Linked DNA regions of Arabidopsis thaliana. The protein of the gene in region 3 interacts with the protein of the main gene of each other region in a pairwise test. Each region holds a gene or a part of one and is shown on either strand. Other genes may lie near its edges.

What was found.
Region 1: the proteins of MPK4 (region 3) and AT2G30020 interact in binary tests that used the Arabidopsis thaliana proteins (3 or more experiments, as listed by UniProt).
Region 2: the proteins of MPK4 (region 3) and PP2C5 interact in a two-hybrid assay, tested with the Arabidopsis thaliana proteins (one study listed by BioGRID).

What each region holds. Positions count from the first base shown.
Region 1 is NC_003071.7:12,811,351-12,818,418, reverse strand, and holds AT2G30020 (Protein phosphatase 2C family protein), read right to left. Parts: upstream 4,149-7,068; 5' UTR 3,983-4,148; coding exon 3,479-3,982; intron 3,202-3,478; coding exon 2,515-3,201; 3' UTR 2,059-2,514; downstream 1-2,058. UniProt on the Arabidopsis thaliana protein: Protein phosphatase that negatively regulates defense respones. Inactivates MPK4 and MPK6 MAP kinases involved in stress and defense signaling.
Region 2 is NC_003071.7:16,779,598-16,786,357, forward strand, and holds PP2C5 (phosphatase 2C5), read left to right. Parts: upstream 1-2,768; 5' UTR 2,769-2,924; coding exon 2,925-3,752; intron 3,753-3,984; coding exon 3,985-4,164; intron 4,165-4,252; coding exon 4,253-4,417; 3' UTR 4,418-4,550; downstream 4,551-6,760. Other genes in the region: GEA6 (Stress induced protein), read right to left, coding at 195-358, 456-570; LEW3 (UDP-Glycosyltransferase superfamily protein), read left to right, coding at 5,635-5,934, 6,089-6,375, 6,473-6,659, 6,750-6,760.
Region 3 is NC_003075.7:563,542-572,065, reverse strand, and holds MPK4 (MAP kinase 4), read right to left. Parts: upstream 5,150-8,524; 5' UTR 4,848-5,149; coding exon 4,675-4,847; intron 4,544-4,674; coding exon 4,414-4,543; intron 4,346-4,413; coding exon 4,208-4,345; intron 4,019-4,207; coding exon 3,686-4,018; intron 3,606-3,685; coding exon 3,422-3,605; intron 3,350-3,421; coding exon 3,177-3,349; 3' UTR 2,919-3,176; coding exon of another isoform or gene 2,502-2,918; 3' UTR 2,344-2,501; coding exon of another isoform or gene 2,200-2,343; 3' UTR 2,062-2,199; coding exon of another isoform or gene 1,990-2,061; 3' UTR 1,825-1,989; downstream 1-1,824. Other genes in the region: AT4G01390 (TRAF-like family protein), read left to right, coding at 471-495, 581-710, 804-952, 1,055-1,337, 1,426-1,592, 1,676-1,824; AT4G01380 (plastocyanin-like domain-containing protein), read left to right, coding at 1,990-2,061, 2,200-2,343, 2,502-2,918; BPS3 (BPS1-like protein), read right to left, coding at 5,873-6,919. UniProt on the Arabidopsis thaliana protein: The ANPs-MKK6-MPK4 module is involved in the regulation of plant cytokinesis during meiosis and mitosis. Essential to promote the progression of cytokinesis and for cellularization (formation of the cell plate) during male-specific meiosis.

The DNA.
Region 1 (7,068 bases), on a different chromosome or scaffold from region 3:
CATATTAAATAGAGCAATACATGAAAACATAGCGATTGTCAACCATGAAAAACGTCAGAAATTCGTTGGAAACAAGCTTTTGTTCCAAATTCATTAGTATCATGATTAGTCTGTTAACAGTTTTGCACTTTCCTTGGTGTAGCTCTCTCGCTGATAACCAAATTGTGGATTGCATCGATCATCTTGCCGAGATAAGCTCGGTCTCACATTGAGATAAGTGAATCCTTTACATGTGTTCCTCCGAATCCGTTTAGCTTTCTTTTTCATTCTAAATCGAATCGAGTAACAAAATGAGAGGTGTCAAAATTTCGATCCAAGGTTCTTCCGCATATATCATTACAACAATCTAACTTGAATACCATAGTTTAAGCAATTAAAGTCAAATACATGTGGTGCTTTATATTATCGGTTATATTTTCTTCTTGCACTAAATTTTCAAATCGTCGATTAGAGCTGAAGACATAATGATAAGGCCAATGCTTCGAATCAAATAATGCGAGTGAATTGTTTGCACGTATCTACGATTCGCTTCCATTTCATGGACTATTTTTTTGTGTGTCTAACATTAATTTACGAATTACATCGCGAAACAAATTGCTACAAACAAAGTAAATGGCTTTAACTATAGATTCTTATTTTGACAAAAAAAAAAAAAAAACTATAGTGTATTAAATAAAAAAAACGAGGGACCACACGCAAAACACCGATTCTAACTTTGAAAGAATAGTAAATGCCAACCAATGGCCAGTTGTAGTGGACGAACTCTGTCTTAATTACATCGTGAATATTTAATTGCATGCGAGTGTGGTTTATAGTATTATTGATATTTTCTTTGTTTATTTAGTTAATTATTATGGGTTTGTTAACAAGTCTAATTCAACTACTTCTTTTCAAGCTTTATTCCTCTTGGAAAAAAAAACTGCCCAAAAGATAAAATAGAAATTGACTTGTAAAATAACATAAAATAGACATTGACTTGTAATGAGATGAAAATAGAGTTAAAAATCATGATTTTCACAATTAAAATATGAAAAGATACAGGTAAAGTTAGGTTGTAGGGATTAACTCAATGTGGATCATGTAGGTCATGGTGTTATTTGTTAGGCTTTCATTCATAAATTTGTTTTTGAAAAAAAAAACAGTGAAATAAATGAAACTGATAGATGGAAGCTAAATTAAGTGAACTAACACAACTTATGTTACATTAAGTTTAGTTACACTGAATCGGTAGAACACATGATGTGTGTGGGACTGAAATGCTAATTTTCCGGAGATTTGGTTTGGTAAAGTTAAATACGAGAAGAAAAGAAATTAGAGTTGGAGAAACAAAAACAAGAACAAAAGAGAAAAAGCCGAACAACGTGCCGTTTTTGGGGTCCATTGGAAGACAAAAAACAACAACGTGTTCTCCGCCTACAACACAAAAACATGTGTTTGTAATTCACGTGTTGTTTTTACGTTCTTTCTTTGACCATTGTCTTCTTCCTCTTTTCACAAACTCAATCTTTTGTTTTATTTTTCTTATCCTTTTATCGGCTTATCCATGTCGGTAATCATTATCACCGCACATATTTGTTTTTGCTTGTTTCTTATATGTACATAAAATGTATATGTTCAATTTAATTTGCACATCATTTCACTCTTGTTAATATGTAATTCATCGAAAATTATGGTTCTTAATCCATGTCAACATTGTCACAATTAACAACATTGTTAGGATATATATGTCAACCACAGCCAAAATTCTAAGTGGTTTGTATTGGTCTCAATGTCTAACCAGACTGAATGTGAAAAACACGAAAATGAATAGATTTAACGAGATTTTAACTAGTAGACAAAATAAAAACATATCTTACGTTTGCATGAAAACAGATTGAGAATTTGAGATCCAAGACCAAAACTAATTAAACTACACATGTGAACAAATAATATATTTTGGGCTATTCGGGTTTGTGTCCGGCCCAATGGTTTATGTTAGCCTGTCAAACTTGAGGACTTTGTTTGTTTTTCTCCTTTTTCCTAAGAAAACTCTCTTTATGGTTGAACTTGTTTTCTCGATCAACTTCTCTTGTACCTTCGTTCCACTTTAAAACAATATTGGCCGTGTGACTCTTTGACCAGGATCACTTGTCATGTCGATTTCTTTCACGTTGCATCTCAATATGAACTTCATGTATGTTGGAGTTGTGAATTGAAATTCATCAAAACAAGGAATCTTTGATTCAGATTGAGTCAATCTCTTCCAAGCACTGTGTTGGTATTGTACTGTAGAGAAATTTGCAGGATCTTGAAACATATGACAAGATATATAACGAACCGATTATTAGATTAATTTCGGCCAATGCTCGAATCATACAAGTAATCATAAGCCACAATGAGTTTAGCTTTGTTCACTAAGTTAGAAAGAATAAATAAATGAATGGATCAAGTTAAACAAAAGAACTAAATCATATAAAACCTCCAAATTTCTAACGTTTATCATATATCTAAAATCTTCTAAGATGCCTCTCTTTTCTATATGAACTGGCGTAAAGGGATCAACATCACACTGATATCATCAGACGAGCCTCGTGAAGCAGATAAATCGACAAGCTTCTTACAGGCAGCTAACAACAATGGCTTCTCGGTTCCTAAGCAGAGAGGACGAGCAATGTCTACTGCTTCTTGGTTACTCACTTTATCCCATAAACCATCAGATGCCAAGATCAAAAACTCATGGTCATGCTCGATTCTCGAAATCTTTGTCTCTGGTTCAGCTATAACCCATTTCTTAAGTTGAGCATCTCCAATTCCTCTTGACACAGCTAAAGATCCCTGGATTCTCCAAACACCGTGAAACGTATCAACATATCCTCCCGTGGTTTCAATTCTTTTCCGTTCATCGTCTCTAGACGGGCGGTGATCAGAAGATAAAGCCTTAGCTACACCTCCTACACTCATAACAGCACGACAGTCACCGGCGTTAGACACAACAAGGTTCCCTTCGTTAACCAGAGCCGTGACACAGCATGAACCACCCTTAACGTCTTCCTCCTTAAGAAACGACGCGTCTGTTGCCAAGTAACCATGTTTCACCGCTTCAGCTATCTCAGACTCGTCTCTCTTACCAACTACTTCTTCTACAATGTTCTTATCTAAGTTCTTAGCTGCAAACTCAGCCGCTTTAACTCCTCCATGACCATCATAGACTCCGAAAATCGCCTGAGAAATTATCACAAAGCAAAACAACGTTTAGAATACACGATTCATCAATAAGCACACAATTGTTTCATATGATTCTGTAAAACTTCTAATTCTATTCAGAATTTCAATTTTCCCCAAAGAACCCTAATTTTAGATAGCTTATTAACCCAATCAATGTAGATCTCACATGATAAACCCTAATTTGAGCTGTAATTGCTAATCAATCGAATCAAAATCACCAATTCAATTCAATTCTAAACCAAAACTGAAAAATGAATTTGAAATTTAAAATTACCTGTTTACGATCTCCATGAAGATTGGTGATAGCAGAGAAACGATCCTCCATAGCTTCTCTTCTTCCTCTCTTACAATAAACAGAATAACCATCACCTTCTCTCTCAACCTCTCTACACTCCTCTCTCGGCGTCGCAGCCACAGCGGCCGATGAAGAAATCGGAGCTACAAATCCAGCAACACCAATCGGTATATCAAGCCTTGTAGGTCGTTTCCTCTTTAAAACACCTCCCGGAGGAGAGGATGCAGAAACAGATTCAGATCCAAAAGATAATGGACCAGGAGCGAATCCGGACGGAGGTTTCTGGAAACGGAGACGAAATGGAGATTTAGGAGAAGAAACGGTGGTGGATGGAGAGGAAGGAGAAGAGGTCTGAGGTTTGCGATGAGAAAGCGTTAGAGAAAGAGATTCTTGCGGTGACGAGAGAATCGAAGATTTGTTGCAGAATAGAGAAGACGACGGTGAAAACACCGGAGAATTACATACGGCGACGGAGCAAGACATCGTTTCTATATTTTGATTTCGATTTCGATGAGTAGAGATTTGTTTTTGCTGAGATTATTGTTTTTGTTTCTTCTCCTTCTGTTTTTTTTTTGTTGTGACGATGTACAGAGAGAGAAGAAGAAGGTTTTTAAATATAAAGGAAAGAAGAAGGTAATGAATATTGAATGAATTAGAGTCCGTGTTTATCGAGCTTTATTCAAAGTTTTTCAGTCTCTTTGACTTTGTAAATAACATTTATGCCCTTACAACTTTCATTTCCTTTATTTATGTTGTCCTTTTACTTTCTACAAAATGGATATTATTTTGAGGAAAACAAAATTAGCTTGAATCCTACTCTTGTTGACCAGTTTTTTTTTGTTGGCAAAATAAAGGAAAATATCATTTTTTCTTAATAATGAAAAATGTATATATCCATGAGATTTTTTATTCCAATATTTTTTCATAACCAAAATAAGAATCATTCAATTTTTGGTAACTTTATGTCAATTTAATAATAAAAACAAATTATGTCTAGTAGACTAGAACTATCATAAACAAAAAGAGGAGTATTGCAAATAAGAAGAAAGGCCCTTTGTAACGTAGAATAAAATTCAATAAAACACAGCAGATAGTACAAAAGAGAATGTTGGAGGGTAAAACGGTCATTCACAGTCTAAAATAGCTAAAACGATGAAGTAAGCGATTTATTGGGTTTGCTCTGTGAGGTTAAAACAGACATTTCAAATGAAGTCAAAAACACGTCTAAAAGGAAACGAATGCTAATAATTGGGCATGTGGGTAACGTATCTGTGTTAAAGAAGTGTTTCATTGATGACTCACTTTTTTTTTCTTCTCCTTTTTAAATTAAATGAAAAATAGAATCTTAAAGAATTTAAAACGACCGTTAGGTTCTATACGTCGTCGTTTTCATTGGATGAGTATTTTTGCTTGTCGTAGTCGCAGCTTCTAAGCAAGTGACCGTTGAGAGCCTGAAGAGGAGCCTTCGTTTTGTTTGTTTCCATTTGATGACCGTTGTGAATTTGTCAAAAAGTCTAATACATAAAGTTGTAATTGATCTCGTTTCACACGAGGTCTTCTTATTATTAAAATACAAGTCTTCTTCTTATTAAGAGAGTGTTAATTTTTTGAGTAATTTGTGACATCATTAACTGATAGTTTTGTCTTTTAAACGGTATTTGATATTCTAGAGTTGAAAAGGAATTGCAATGTTCTAGAGTTGAAGAAAAATCCATTAGAAAGTTTTTGTTAATGTTGTGAATTGTGATAGGGATGAATAGTAAACAAAGAAAAATCAGTTTTTGCAATATTATAAGACCAAAATTTCCTTATTAATAAGTATTTGCATATGATAAGACCAAAAATTTTACGTCTTATTATATTGTCATGCGATTAATGTTCCACTATTAAGCACTTTTAGAGAATGTTTTTCCGTTTGAGGCAGTTTATAGGAAATAGACACTTTTTCTATTAATTCTTTTTTTTTAAAGACTTTTTTACCCTCAATTCAATATTTATGTTTTTAATTCTTAATTTCTCTTTTTTGTTATTCCTCTTCCACGATCCTTACCCAAAATAAATAAAATCTCTCTCTCTCTCTCTCCATGATTTGTAGCGCCTCTCTCTCTCTCTCTCCACGTCTCCATAACTTTTGGAGAAGTTTCTTAAACAATTTGATCTCGATTATCTCAGGAATTTGGTAAAAGTTCTATGTCCATAAGGTATTGGAGGTGGGGTCTCTGCAAATTGTAAGAAAAATCAACAAACAATTTTTTGGTGTCCATAATAACGAGTCCATTTAAATATATCCATTCAGAAAACCTTTTACTGATTCATATTCATTCTATATACCATGTCCATATAACAGGAGATTCGATTAACCGTGGTTTGTAAAGAAACCAAAGTTCCATGTCCATAAGGTCTTGGAAGTGGAGGTCTCTTCAAACTGAAAGAAAAATCAACAAACAATGTTTTGGTGTCCATAATAACGAATCCATTTAAATATATCCATTCAAAAACCTTTCTACTTATCTATATTCATTCTATATACCATGTCAATAATAACAGGAGATTCGATTAACCGTGTTTTGTAAAGAAACCAAAGTTCCATGTCCATAAGGTTTTGAAGGTAGAGGTCTCTGCAAACCGAAAGAAAAATCAACAAACAATGGTTTGGTGTCCATAATAACGAGTCCATTTAAATATATCCATTCGGAAACCTTTTTACTGTTCTATATCCATTTTGTATATCATGTCCATAATAACAGGAAATTCGATTAACCGGAATCTCGATGCTACATAGATGAAACGAGTTTGACACATGAGAGAGAGCAAAAATCAAATCAAGCCGCCATTGTTGAAGAAGAAGATGTTTCTTAGATAATTGAATCTCAAATTTATATCAAAACAAATATTTAAATTGCAAAATAAATTACAATCTTAAAGAAACCAAGACCTCATATTCTCTAATTAGTCCAGAGAAAAAAGAAAGCCATCGCGTAGAGTGGATTTGGAGATTAATTGCAGATTTGGAATTGAAGATATTCTGGGAAATGTTTTTTTCTTCGATAAAGTGAGAAAAAAAAAAAATAGAGAAGAGATGGGAAAAGGAGAGAGAAGAAATGACCGATGGAAAAAATGTAGTTAAAGGGTAAATAAGTAAAATAATTTATCTAAAGTGACTTCTCCATTTAAAGTGCCTAATTAGGAACAAACTTTTAAAAAAGTGTCTAATCACGTAATATTCTCTACTACTAATTCATACCAAAAAAAAATGTTTGCTTTTTATCCTAGTACATAAGTTATTTAAATATTTTCGAATTATCTGATTAAATGACCTCAAAAACCGAAAAGAAAGAAAAAAAACTAATTTAGAAATATAGTGTAATTTTTCTCTTTCACCACTAAAACAAAATCTTATTTGTTCACTGTACACTTAAATACTTTTTGCGTCTTCTCTTTAAGAATACATTTTTAAAAAAGTATTGAAATGTGATTTTCATTTTTGTAGAGAATAATCATAGGCATATATATATCTCTATATACATAAACTCCGTTAGAAACAAGCGAGACCAAAATAAAACTATTAC
Region 2 (6,760 bases), on a different chromosome or scaffold from region 3:
TAACTTCTTACTAAAGAAGAGAAATTGGTACTGGAAAACAAACGAGACACTTTACGTAGACGAAAACATACACATGGTCATCACCATCCGTAAACTAAACAAGAACTTAAGTACGCACAGGAAACTACACAAGATATAACTACATGGAAAGATTTAAACCGGATTAATATTACATCCGTGTGGGGAAGTTTGATTTAGGTCTTGGTCCTGAATTTGGATTCGTCTATCTCGACTCCTTCCTCCTCAGCGTGTTCCCCACCAGGCTTGTCTCCGGTGCTAAGACCACCTTTGCGTCCCATCTGCTGATATCCTTCAGTTCCTAACTGCTCCTTTCGAGTTTGCCCTCCTCGGCTCCTCCCTTCATATAATAAATATTCCACAAACATTAATCTCGTTACTCTAGCCTAAAGACCTAACTTGAAACATACGCAACCATGAATAAGAGAAAGAATGACCTTCAGCGAGATGCTGTTGAGCTTCGAAGCTTTTGCCTCCCGTACCACCTGGCACGACGGTCTCGCCCTTCTTTGCCCTCTCATCCAGCTGCTTCTTCTCTTGTTGAGACGCCATGGCTCTTTAGTTACTTACACAACACAAGTTTATATAAAACACTAGACAAGTAAAAACCAAACAAACTCGCAACGACTTGATGATGATATACGAAGAAGACTATAGTAGCTCGCTCTATATATAGCGAGTTCAATCCGGAGGGCGTTTTGGTTGTGTTGCATCGTGGATGTTCGACGTGGTGACTCAGGGACAATCGGTACGTCATACGTATGCTCTTCTTTCTTGGTGACATGCCACGTGTCTGACTTTATTAGCTGACGTATACTTTGAACGTGGTAGTGGCCGTACTTCTTCGCCGCGTGTTCTTTAACTATACCGCCGCAATTATTTTGTGTGTTGCCTTTGTATTCATAAAATCTTTCAATCATTTGACTATACTGTATGAAAGTAAATATGAATACCTGAGGAAGAAATCCCGGATGGATTCATGATTGGAAATGTTGGTAATCGTCATTGAATTTGTGCCTTACGGTTAGGTGTATAAATTGCTGGTCAAAATTCGTTGACGTTAGGTGGTCCATATATCAAGTTCAGTTCCGATCAAATTGATTGAATACGTGGCATCGACTTTAAGCAGATTCATATGCAAATATTCATTTTAGAAATCAAATTACAATTTGAAAGCGTACATTAAGTCTTATTGTTGAAAAAATAAATATAACAAACTTTTTTTACTCTCAACTTTGAAAAGATTCAAATGCTATATCTCTGAATTTTAGCTCCTAATTCTATTATTTTGGACTCTTTAAAAAAAAAAAAAAAATTTGAGGATCGCTGCCCCTGGTTTTGACTATCACACTTATTTTGTGTAGCATTCCATATTGCTTGAATGTGTCTGCAATATTTGAGTTATCAACGTTATATATCCTTGTTGCTTCTTTTGATTCGTTTTGTGAATGAATTTATGTTGTCCTCAACGGTTCTCTCTCAATACTACGTGACTACGTCAATGTTATAGCTAAATGTGTGTAATTTTTTTTAATGTTTTTTTAATATTTTTATTTGTATTGTAAACACAAAAATTTGAACTACAATCTACGAGCATGACAAATTGGCTTGCCAAGTCAAAAAAGGGCGACACGAGAGTGATTCTTACGAGGCAAGTTATTTGTGTTCCTAAGACGAATTAGGGTCAATAGTTCCCCAACTCCAATCATCTATACATCATTATTACATACACACTTCACACTTGCGTATGGTTACATCAATTTTAAACAGCGTACGATTCTTTAAATCAAAGATTTAGTTGTTCTTCTTTCCTTAAATGAATTCACTAAATTTTGCCAGGTCTTCAGATTTTTTTTTGACTTTTTCTAATTATGACGTTTGAAAACGATGCGGGAGTGAATTAACAACCTTCATATACTAACTATAAATAATAATTTATTTCAATACCTAATTCCTCCTCTAAATAGATAGATTTTCTGAAAGGCATATGTTTCAAGTCTAATTCCTTATTCGAATCTATTGACTCGGATTCACCAATATAGTACCATCCCATCAAAAGTTTGAACCATTAGTTTACTTAATTATTCATATTAAACTTTTGAATAGTTATCCATAGACTAACATTGACTAACTTATATAAGGTTTGATGGTTTCTACTTCGAGATTAAATTAGTAATGAATGCAAGAATCTAAATGATACGATTCTAATTTTTTTGATACGTGCATAAGATTCTAATAAATTTGATACATGCATTTTCCATAGTTGATCAAATTAGGTATGAAGACCAGAAATAACTAGTTCCCTTATTAATTCTTAGTACTTATCCTTTTTTCGTCTAAATTCTTAGTATTATGCAATTTTTTCTAGCGTGTAAAATTAACTTCTTTTTTTTCTTTGTTGAGAAGGTATAAACTAAACTTGATAATGATAAATATATAACTTCACATATAGTTCCATTTCAAAGAAAACTAAAGAATGCCCTAATACAGTTGTATTCAATGGACGGCGCATAATATAGATCACTTATTCTAAGGTAAAAGATTTCACGTGATCACCGAGTCCAACCTTCTATTCAAATCTCTCGTTATGGCAATTTAATAACCACTAGAAAAAACAAATTATAGAGAAAGGTAATTTGGGCACCGACGTGAATTTGACTAAATTACGAGAGAGAAAGAAAGAGAGACTTGGTCACGAAGGTGTTAATTAGCATGAAAGAGAGAGAAATAATCGTCGTTGACCATTGACCATAACTTAGTCAGTCATATATATAAAAATCCAACCGCCCACTATTGTTCCCCTATTCACAAGGTCCTTGCTTTCTCAGACGTAAACAACAAGAAATTATATTAACACAACAACAACAACAAAAAGACCAACCCTATTTATTCATATTTTCTCTTATATGCAACTCTCAAAGAATCCGATCAAACAAACGAGAAATCGAGAGAAGAATTACACCGACGATTTCACCATGAAGAGATCTGTAATCATGGCTCCTGAATCTCCGGTTTTTTTCCCACCTCCGCTTGTTTTCTCTCCGACGTCGGTCAAAACGCCGTTGTCTTCTCCTCGTTCGTCGCCACCGAAGCTGACGATGGTTGCTTGTCCTCCAAGAAAGCCAAAGGAGACGAAGACTACGGGTTCTGATTCTGAAACGGTGTTGAAAAGGAAACGACCACCGATGCTTGACTTAACGGCGGCTCCGACGGTTGCATCGTGGTGCAGTACGACGAGAGAGACGGCGGAGAAAGGAGCGGAAGTTGTTGAAGCAGAAGAAGATGGATACTACTCTGTTTATTGCAAGAGAGGAAGACGCGGACCAATGGAAGATAGGTATTTCGCGGCCGTTGATCGTAACGACGACGGAGGTTACAAAAATGCTTTCTTTGGGGTATTTGATGGTCACGGCGGATCCAAGGCGGCGGAATTCGCTGCGATGAATCTAGGGAACAATATCGAGGCGGCAATGGCATCGGCGAGATCAGGAGAAGATGGTTGTTCGATGGAGAGTGCGATAAGAGAAGGTTATATCAAAACGGATGAGGATTTCTTGAAAGAAGGTTCGAGAGGTGGCGCGTGTTGTGTAACCGCTTTGATATCGAAAGGCGAGCTTGCGGTTTCGAATGCAGGCGACTGCCGGGCTGTTATGAGTCGTGGTGGAACCGCGGAAGCTCTCACTTCCGATCATAATCCTTCTCAAGCAAATGAGCTCAAAAGGATTGAAGCATTGGTGAGTTTTATCCTTGTGCATTGGATTTTGATTAGTAACATCACATAATTGTGGAATTGCATTTCAAAAAAAAAAAATCATTGAATTCGTGGAAAAAGCGACTCTAGTAAAAATGCGGTTGATAAAATTTTTGCAAATTGGAGAATCATTCTACCATTTTGCGTTCAAAATAATGTTTTAGTGCGGTTTGGTTTAATTTGTGTTTGGTTTACTTATTTTTGAATGTGTGTAGGGTGGTTATGTTGACTGCTGCAACGGCGTTTGGAGAATTCAAGGGACATTAGCAGTCTCACGAGGAATTGGAGACCGGTACCTCAAGGAGTGGGTGATAGCTGAACCGGAAACCAGAACATTACGGATTAAACCGGAGTTCGAATTCTTGATCTTAGCATCTGATGGCCTGTGGGACAAGGTAAGCATAACAAGAAATGCATGATTTCAAAAATTTGATTTTCATTTTTGGTCTTTGGATTTAATGTTGAAGCTGGTTTGTCCTATAGGTAACGAACCAAGAGGCCGTCGATGTCGTTCGACCGTACTGCGTAGGCGTAGAGAATCCAATGACACTTTCTGCTTGCAAGAAACTGGCTGAGCTATCGGTTAAGAGAGGCTCTTTGGATGATATAAGTCTAATTATAATTCAGCTACAAAACTTTCTTCCATGATATATTAACACATAGTACATTAGCTAAACTTAATTAATTTCATTAGGTCGTAGTTATTAATAAATTTTGTTCGGTATTTTACATGTAAATACATAAAGGTTTGGAAAATAATTAATTTATTGTTATTGTTCTTAGAGATAAGCTCCAAAATATTTTTGGTTTACGATATAAACACTACATAATACATGAAATTGCACTATCTAACCATTTATCATCCTTTTTATCCTCAACTTTTTTATTCTCATGCATTTTGAAAACCACATTCTAATCATATTTCTGCTTTTATGTGTAAAACCAACAAAGATGTACATGGTTGATATACACACGTAGACATAACCTTGACAAGCAACATCTTCGTCGTTACTCATTTTACAGATTTCTACCCATCTGCCTTCAATAAAACAAACATCAACCATATTAGTAACTGCATGGTAACCAAGCATACGTGAGTTTTTGTTGTAAGGACCGGTAAACACTTTGAACCTATAAACACCTCCGCCTCTTCCAACAACTCAGAATAATGAACAAGATCACATGCTAAGGTTTTGTAATGCTTCTTACAAACAAAAGTTTATTTAAAAAGGGAAGGGAGAGTTTATAAAATATAAATTAGCATTGACATTGGTGTGAGGTTCTTCACATAATCATATCATTCTGACCAAAATATTAGTCGGAAAATGGTTAGAAACACACCAATATGAGTTGTTTTCTTGTAGTTCTGAGAAAACATAGATGAACCAATATATCAACGTAAGTAACTAAGATAAATTGTGAATCATGAGAATGCAAGAAATATTTTCTCATGATTACATGAGATGAAATACTACCTTACAATTCATCAAACTTTTTGTAGAAAAAGGTATTGAAGAAATGAAAATTGGATGTAGACAAAAAAATAAAAAATTCTTGCTGCAAGATCCTGGACAAAGACAATAATCACATTAAGAACAATGTAAATTTTTTAAAATTAGTAAAAACTCTCTATAAATTAATAATTCACACCATTTAAATTTTAGAGGAGGTGATGAAAGGACATTATCATCAATTTTGGTAGTTAACCCCCAATTATTTAACTAATCAAGATACAAGGGGTACAACTGTAATATATTCATAGTTTGGTGTGTTTTCTACAATATTCAGAAACACGATTTAAGACGATTGAAACTAAAAATAAAAAGTGTCGGACTTGTAAATTTTCGCTCAGCGATCTGCTTCCAATGGCGATCTACTTCATTCTCTATACACTTCTCACGATCATCTTCGCCGTATCTCTGAGTTTATTTCTTTCCGTGATCAATGCAAGAAAGAGCAGAAAACGTGCGGTAGGATTCTTCCATCCGTACACGAACGACGGTGGCGGCGGCGAGAGAGTGCTCTGGTGCGCCGTTAAAGCCATTCAAGAGGAAAATCCCGATCTTGACTGTGTCATCTTCACCGGAGATCATGACTCTTCTTCTGATAGCTTAGCTCGTCGCGCCGTTGATCGATTCGGTGTTCACCTTCAGTCTCCTCCTAAGGTCCCATTACTCCTAAAGTTTAAATTTTTATCAATTTGAATTGGTTCTAATAACACAGAACCTCTCAGATTTGAGGGCAAGTTTCAATTTTGCAATTTGGGTTAGTTTTGATGCAAGTTTTGTGCTTTTGTTGGTTGTTGTTGTGTGGCTTTAGGTGATTCATCTAAACAAAAGGAAATGGATTGAAGAGAGTACTTACCCACATTTTACAATGATAGGTCAGAGTCTTGGTTCGGTTTACTTAGCGTGGGAAGCATTACGCATGTTCACTCCTTTGTATTTCCTTGACACTAGTGGATATGCGTTTACATATCCTCTTGCTCGGATCTTTGGTTGCAAAGTTGTTTGCTATACTCATTATCCAACTATTAGTTTGGATATGATTTCTCGTGTTCGTCAGAGGAACTCTATGTATAACAATGATGCTTCCATTGCTAAGAGGTTTTGGTTATCTCCTTGCTTATTTGGTGTTTTTCAAAAGTGAAAAGTTTCTATTTCTTTGTTTAGTGTAATGATGTTTGTTGCTTTTTTTGTGTAGCAATTGGTTATCTACTTGCAAATTAGTCTATTACAGAGCTTTTAGCTGGATGTATGGGATGGTTGGGTCATGTACTCATTTAGCTATGGTTAACTCTTCGTGGACTAAGTCCCATATCGAAGTGCTTTGGAGAATTCCAGAACGGATTACACGGGTCTACCCGCCCTGTGATACTTCAGGACTTCAGGTGATAACCTTCAGACAGCTCGAATCTTATGATTTTTGTCTGTTTTCTGGTTACATCTCAGTATTTGCTGACATCTTGGGCTTATTGCAGGCGTTTCCTCT
Region 3 (8,524 bases):
AAATAGATGATTAAATATAATTGGTTAAAAAATATTAAATACATTTATTATTTGCATAGAAAGTTGAAAACAACACTTAAATTGAAAAAAAAAAAAACCGTTAAACTACATTTATATAGAAACAGAGGGAGTAGTAATTTGAAAAGAATAATAATAATAAATGTTAAAGTATTTCTTTGAGTTGAGAATTTAGGTCGATTTTTACGAACATATGCTCAAATGTGACGTATAAATAAATGCGTATCAATATTGATGCTTTGTTCAATTACCAAAAAAAAAAAAAAGATGTTTTGTTCGATTCGATAAATGTTGGGGGCAAAACAGAGAGATGAGCAAAACATGGGATCCCGATAAATAAATAAAGACAACTCTTGTCCTTGTATAAATAGACTTGCATCTTCAAGATATATATGTACAAGTCTCTTTACACCTAACAAGACACAGTACTAAATCATTTGCAGCTTCTTACAATGTCGCGACCAATCTCGCTTGAAGGTGAAAACATAACTTATGTTGTGTCTGATGATCTCTTAGTATCATTATGAGTTCCAAGTTTTAATAATTTTCTCATTCTTGACAGAAATGGTGAGACTGTTCAAAGTACGTCACGCAACAGCTCACATGTTCAAGATAGACCATTTCTCTTTACTCAGAAAGCATGGAATCGAAAAGGTCGAGTCCTCTGTTTTCGATCTCGCTGGTCACAAATGGTGAAGTTGTTTATAATCTTGTTATTATGCTTATTGACATACAAAAGAAAACAAAGATGGTGATCATCCTCTTAACGACTTGATTGGTAACAGGAAACTCTCTGTGCACCCAAATGGCCATACAAATGCTAAGGGGACACATTATGTCTCCCTCTACTTAATGAATCAAGCTCCGGTATATGATACGCTTACATATGAGCTTCTTGCCGTCAGTCAACTTGAGCCAAAATGGCACACTCACGGTCTCTCTCACTCTCTCTCTCTCTCTCTCTTGCTTCATTCAATCACGCATACATCTGTGTGTATATAGGTTTGATACGGCGTCCATATATGTTGATGTGCAGGAAGAGATGAATACGAAACCAATGAAGAACTGGGTAGTGAGGGGTTTCGTGAGTTCATATCTCTTGTTGATCTTAAGAAAAATGGTTTCCTTATTGGAGATTGTTGTATGTTTGGTGTCAAGTTCCATGGGATTGAACCTGCTAAACCCGGAACAGCGGAAAGTTTTAGCTTAATAGAGAAGCCTCTTAATCACAGAGTCACTTGGATGATGACCATGTTCTCGTCCTTCAACCCTGGAAACGTTCATCAGTCTAATGAATTTGTCGTTGGAACCCGGAAATGGTTGATATTATATTCCTCCTTTTTCCCAAAAACATAACACAACTTATATATAATACTAATAAAAATGCATCACAATATATTTGATCAGGAGAATTAAAGTTCATCCAAGAGGGTCTATGGGTGAAAAAGACAAATCATTTTCTGTGTATCTATCGGCACTAGGGTTTGTCAATAATGCACCAAAGACTAAAACTTACGCGAGGTTCAAGCTGCGTGTATTGGATCAAGTTAGCAGGAATCATGTTGAGAAAACAAGTATGTGTTTATTATGTTTTGGAAAGTCTTGTGATGCATGATGGTTAAATACAGTACTAATCTTTTTCTCCTGGTACGTATAGTTTCGGGTTGGCTTGGTGCAGAACCTGATGACCGCCATGGCTTTGCGGATTTCATGCCTCTAGGGGAACTTGATGACCCTTATTTGGTGAAGGATAAGCTTTATGTGGGAGTTGACTTTGATGTCATTTCCGTCTCTAATTACTGTTAGCTATATAATCAGCAAGAAATATTTATAACGTATGAATAAAATGCTGGAGAATATATATAGTACTATTATGTAACTAAGCTACTGATGCCGTAATGACTTGTGATGTGTGTCGACGTACGTGTTGCTGGAGATGAAGATGATGTGCTTGGCGTGTATTTTCAGTTTATGGGCATAACAAGACAATCTACAAGATTTCATAAGCCCAGTTTATCAACTATAGAGACTTGGTTCTCAATCGTTATTGTTTCTTGTTAGTTTTGTTTTGCAAATAAGATCTTGTTTTTTTTTCAAGGAATCGTGAGCATTCCATTGCTTTTACTACCTATATATATGAGAAAAACGCCAAAAGAAAAGACATAATTTGTTTGCCAAAAGAAACTTGTGTTCCACGTTGGGGATTCTTTGATCTTCGAACACAATCACAACCTCAACGACGTCACTCAAGTCTCCGGCGCTTTGGAATACGAGTTCTGCGACTCTTCTTCTCCTAAAGCCGTCTACAACCCTGGACACGATATCGTAACCCTCACGGAACCAGGTTTTCACTAGTTCATCAGCTCAAACCATGCTCAATGCGCATCGGGACAGAAGCTCGACATTCTTGTCGTTCATGACTCGTCACGTCCCATTCCTCCAACACCACCGAGCAAGATCCTTCCTCCTTGAAATATCTACAGAGTTGGTGTGGCTCCAAGGGATGGAGTGTTCCGCAAGAAAGTTACTTTTATTACAGATGGAGTGAGAAGACGCAGTTTCCGATCGGAGACAGTCTTCTTTTCGAATACGACAACGAAGTCAACGACGTCTTAGAGATCAGCGGGGACCTTGAATTCATATCCTGCTACCCGATTTCTCCCGTAGCCGTGCACATGACAGGCCACGATCTCGTCACGCTCACAGAACCAGGAGTCCATTATTTCATTAGCTCTAAGACTCCAGGTCACTGTTACGCTGGGCTTAAGCTACGAGTCGTGGTCGGACCACTCACCAAAGCCGTACCTGTCCCCAATGTTCCGACGAAGAAGATAGAGTTGTCACTTATGGACCGCTTCAACAGATGGTTACGCACCTTCGGACCTCAACCCCATCATTAAGATAATTAGTGGATGTAATTAGAGTTAAGACTTCTCTGTATTTTCTTTCGACTAAAAAGTAAGGAAATTTAAATACACTCTATTGCAAAACACAGCTCAAAGGTTGTTCTTTTCTTTTTTTCCAATTTTTTAGGATGTTATTCAAATTACAGACATATTATCAAACTTATCAGAGATTTGATAACAAAAGCAGAGCAAAACAAAACATAGCATTTTGATGAGTTTCCTTTTAAGGATATATATCTCTCTCTCTTTCTCTCACACTGAGTCTTGAGGATTGAACTTGACTGTTTCACGGTATATAAGCTCCTTAATGTTCTCTTCTGTCAAAGTAGGTTGCTCGAAATCAAAATTGAACGGCCTCACACATACCGGTTCTTCGTTGATATCATGCAGCGGCGCCAAATATGGGTGGCACAACGCCTCATCAACTACACACACAAAAAACATGTTCAGAAAATAGCCGAAGAAACAGAGAAGCAGTTATATAAAATATAACTCACCTGTGATGCGTCTGCTTGGATCAAAAACAAGCATTTTCTCCAGCAAATCGACTGCACCAGCCGACATGTTTGGGAATCTAGCAGCAAAGTTCTGTCTAGGGTACTGTGGAAGCTGTCTAACGTATCTTCTTGCATTGTCACTTCTTAAGAATCCCAAGCTTGAGTCATCAGGAGATCCTATAAGCTGCTTTCCAAAGATTCATTAATACCGTGAAGAGAGACTAAGTGGTGATTCTTTGGATGAAACATACTAAACTAGATTACCTCAGTGATGAGTCTAAGCTGATGAACATAATCTTTACCGGGAAACAAGGGCTCTCGTGTCATTGTTTCACCGAGTATACAACCGACAGACCAAATATCAATTGCTGCTGTGTATTCAGAGCAATTAAGTAGCAGCTCTGGAGCTCGATACCAACGTGTAACAACATATTCAGTCATAAAGTCAGTCTCGGATTTGGTCCTCGCAAGCCCGAAATCCCCAAGCTTTAGATCACAATTTGCATTCAGGAGCAAATTGCTAGGTTTCAAATCTCGATGCAATACATTAGCTGAATGAACATATTTGAGCCCACGCAACAACTGATACAGAAAAAACTGCAAAACATAATCGAAACTAATTACTAAACACAACTTCAAAGCATAACAAACGAAATCCTTATTAGCTCTCACTTATAAAGTATCAAGCAATACTCATCAGATGCTCTAACACAATAACAGCTGCTTCTAAAGTAGAAACAGAAGATTCAGCTGCTAGATATAAGCAAGATGGAGATTGATGCATACCCGACAATGATCATCAGTTAAGGGTTGGTTAGAGCGAATAATTTGGTGGAGATCAGTGTCCATAAGCTCATAAACAATGTAAACATCATTGAAGTTCTCTCTCTGCGGTGGTTTTATTATATCCTTTACAGCAATCACCTGCACAATAAACCAATATAAGATTCACACAAAAAAAACCAGAGATGCTGATGATTAGTAACACGTACATTTTCATGATCCATATGCTTGAGAAGCTTAATCTCTCTCAAAGTCCTTTTAGCATCGATAATATTGTCAAAAGCATTACCAATCTTCTTGATAGCTACCTCCTCTCCAGTCTCTGAGTTTGTAGCAGCACTGATCAACAATTATCAACACAAGTTATTATAATAACAACAGATTCCAAAACCCTAATTCCCAAATCTAAGAACCCCAGAAGTGAACATTACATGTTTCAAAAACCCAATCTGATTAATTTTGGAACTCACCAGACAATTCCATAAGCGCCTCTACCGATAGGACGAAGAGGAGGAACATACTTTCTAGAAACTTCGAAGAGATTGCCATAGACATTATACTGAACATAGCTACCACCATGAGTAGCCACTCCTTTGCTGCTGCTTTGATCACCCGAGCTTCCGAAACAACTCTCCGCCGACATCGGAGCAAAATTCCTCACAACAACGAAAACGAAGAACCCTAGAGAAATTGAGGAATCGAGAAGATGGGTGTTGACATTTCGTTATAAAGTCTCTACCTTTACCCTTTTTTTTTTATTGAACGGTAAAGAGGAAGTCTCCTCTCGAGTCACCCGTGACCCTTAAACCGGGTTTGCGTCTTCTTCTTTGGTTTTTGTTCTTTTTCTTTGTAATGTCAATTTTCAATTTTGTTTATGGTATCGAGTTGGGTATATCCGATGATTGTGTCTCTAAGTAATTGAGGAACGGGTAAGTGTTTTTAGTCAATTGGTTAAGTTTTGTTTACTGGAGTTTGCTTCTACTAAATCGCGTTATCCCACGAAGTAGAGATTAGATATGGTTATGACTTTTGCCGAAAAAATGTAATTGATGAAGTTTGTAGAATGGAACAAGTTAATGACTTCATGTAGGAATGTTCTTGATATCATATTATAAAGTTTAAAAGAATCTAGATGACAACTTTTCTCCAATAAGAATTTAAGTACGACTTGGTATATTGGTGGTGTACAAGTCAATGGGCGGCCAAATTGTTTTTGACCATAAAACTGACCTTTGATTCCAAAACCATTAGTGAAAAAAGGTTTATGTATAAGATAAAATGACATCATTTTGATTTTTTTTAAAAAATCATGGTTAAACAACTTATATAACCATGTTGAAGTTTGGTGCATTTGTTATTATTAATAGCTAGAATATCTGGTTTGCTTTGATTGATTGATCATGTAACCATGAAAATAACACTGATTTTTTTTGGTCTAGTGATTTACAATGGGCCTCAAGCAAACCCATCACTTATCCATTATCAACTAAGATGAACTAAAGCACAATTCTGACTAACTTGAAAATGTAGTTATAGCTTAGCACCGATTGAAAAGAGAGAGTTATCAATATTTGAAGCGTTTTAAAGTCTCATTTTTATCTGCATTTGTTATTACTTAACATCAACGATACCATAATTACATGTTTCCTCTATATTCACAAACAAGTCTTAGCTCTTTTCCTCTATATTAACACTTTTAACCATCGTTGGCAATGTCACTCCTAGCTCTTCTGCGCATTTCGTCCACAGGCTCTCCAACAATGCGTCTCGGGCAGAGATCACCATCTTCGACAAGCAACGTGTTTCCTTGGAGACTAGCTCAAACCTTTCCGAAAGTTCTATCACTGACTTCTCCAATGGTTCCACTAACAAAATAGGAACCGACCCTTCTTGTACCGCTGTGTAAAGCTTCTTCACACCGGTTTCAACAGCCTCGAGATCTTTTATAACCGTGAATCCGTCTGATAAAAATGTGTTTTTGATCTCCGGGTTAATAGTGTTCTGCAGTTCCATGAAAGCTTGAACCCATGGAAGCTCCTCCATCTCCTTTGGAATGGTTAGATAGAAGAGATTCTTGGAAGAACCCGAGAACGATGCATCAAACACGCTGAATATGTATAAAGTCTTGACCTTTACACCGTATAAAACTCGTAAGAGAACTTTTCCTTCCGCAGAGTATTTCTTCTTCCCCTTCTTGGAGATATGATGATGATGATCCATCGATTCAACCAGCCTACTCAAAACCGCGCCCCAGTTTTCGATACTCGGGTTCTTGGAAACCATGTGCTGATTCCAACGCTGAAGAATATTGCCACTGTTTGTCTCCAGCTTACTAAAAGCAAACTTTAGTAATAGATTGCCATGTTCCAAATGATATATCTCTGAGGTAAAGGCGTTGCAGAGTTCCCGCTTCAAGCTAAAGTCAGAGAAGATATAAATGAAATTCTCCTCCAAATCCGATACTGGAACCTCTAAATCCTTCACGAGCGTCCTGATACTCTTGTGTGTCTCACAAAGAGACTGCATGGCTTGTATCATCCAAGAAACACTAACGATATCATTCTTATCCTTTGGTACAAGTTCTCTAATCGATACCGTCAAGTTAGTCTCGAAATTGTTCAACAGTGAGAGAAGCTTTGGCGATAATCGAGCATTGTTCTTCTTCGTAAACAGAATCTTGAACGGGTTCCGAGAGCGTGTACGTTGTTGGCTCATATCAACTGAAAACACACAGAAAGAAGAAACAAAGTTAGTAATCTGAAACAATGAGCAAACCAATAACATTGTTCTGAATCCAAAATCCGAATCAATAGATCTCAAGAATGCAAAGACAGAACAAAAACCATTACTTTAACCAAACTCGCCGAAGATTAACGAAAACTCACCTAAAGAAAGAGATTCTTCCGAAATGTTACCGCTTACTTCAATGTTACGCTACTTCAATGAAGGAGAGAAAAAAACCCAAAAGAAAGTATAAATAGGAGATGGGTTTAGTGTATGATAATAAAACTTGAAACGCGTTCTTATAGGGAGGAATCAAAGAAACGTGCCGTGTGCTGCAGATCAACGCAATCGCTACTTTAAGTCCCGCGTTGGTTTTGGTAGTTGTAAAGGATTTTTCCGTTTCACCTACGCGGCAGTGACGAAGAATAGAGACAAATACACACGTTTACGGTTCTGATGTCTCAGTTATAGTAGATTTTTCCACTCAATCGTTGACATTTGTCAGCATAACGCTCTATAAGAAAAAGTGGTAAATATAGCCGCCGGATATTTATCAATCCAAGGGCTATAAACTTCTGGTTTCGTCTTTAAAACAATTCTTTATTTTGAGGGTATATTTGTCATTCTCACGTTGCTTTTCAAGCTTATATTACTGGGCCGCGTTGGGCTTTTATTGGGTCAAAGCGACAAGTGAGTTTGATATATTTCTTAGCGCTAAAGTAGATGAAATCTTTGGAAAGCCTTCGATGAATCTGAGAGGCAGCATATGATAGATTATATAAACAAATATAACTAATTTATATCATTGAATATATTTAAGATGTAATTTGATATTATTTATAAATTTTCTTCTTTAGTATAAAATTGAAAACAAGTATTTATACTATTAATTGGGAAGTATTTTGTGAACTACAACATTATAAGGGTAGTTTAAAATTAACTAAATGAAATTTTACATGGGTAATTTAGTAAATTAACTACTACTAAATGAATTTAGTTTCCATAAAAATCAGGCTATTGATTTCGAAATTGTATATATATAAATTTATTCAATTTTGGTAATATATTTTGAGATATTTCTGAAAAAGAAAAAATTAATTTAATATCATCATATATTTTAGATTTTAATATATTTCCTTAAGAAACTACACTAATAATTTTAAAACATTTAAAAAGATACCTTCAAGGCTTCAATCTCTTAGATAATTTTAAGGACAAAAGAAAATTTTCCAATAAAATGTAACTATTATGATATCTATGCTATTATATAATTCACTAACCCAAAAAAACCAATCTTAATTAAAACTTTTCGCAAACTTTTTACATTATTTTCCACACATCTTATTTTCAAATATTATGATAACTGATAAGTTTATGATATATATACTATTATATAATTCACTAACACAAAAAAAAAATATTAATACAAACTTTTATCAAAACCATATGATAATACTTACAACCCGCATAATGTGCGGTTCACAACATTAGCTATTGTGTCATAAATAACACTATACATTTTTTGTGTACATTATAATTTATATACTACAATATTTTTCACTAAAAAATTATTTCAATACATTTTTTAAAATATGA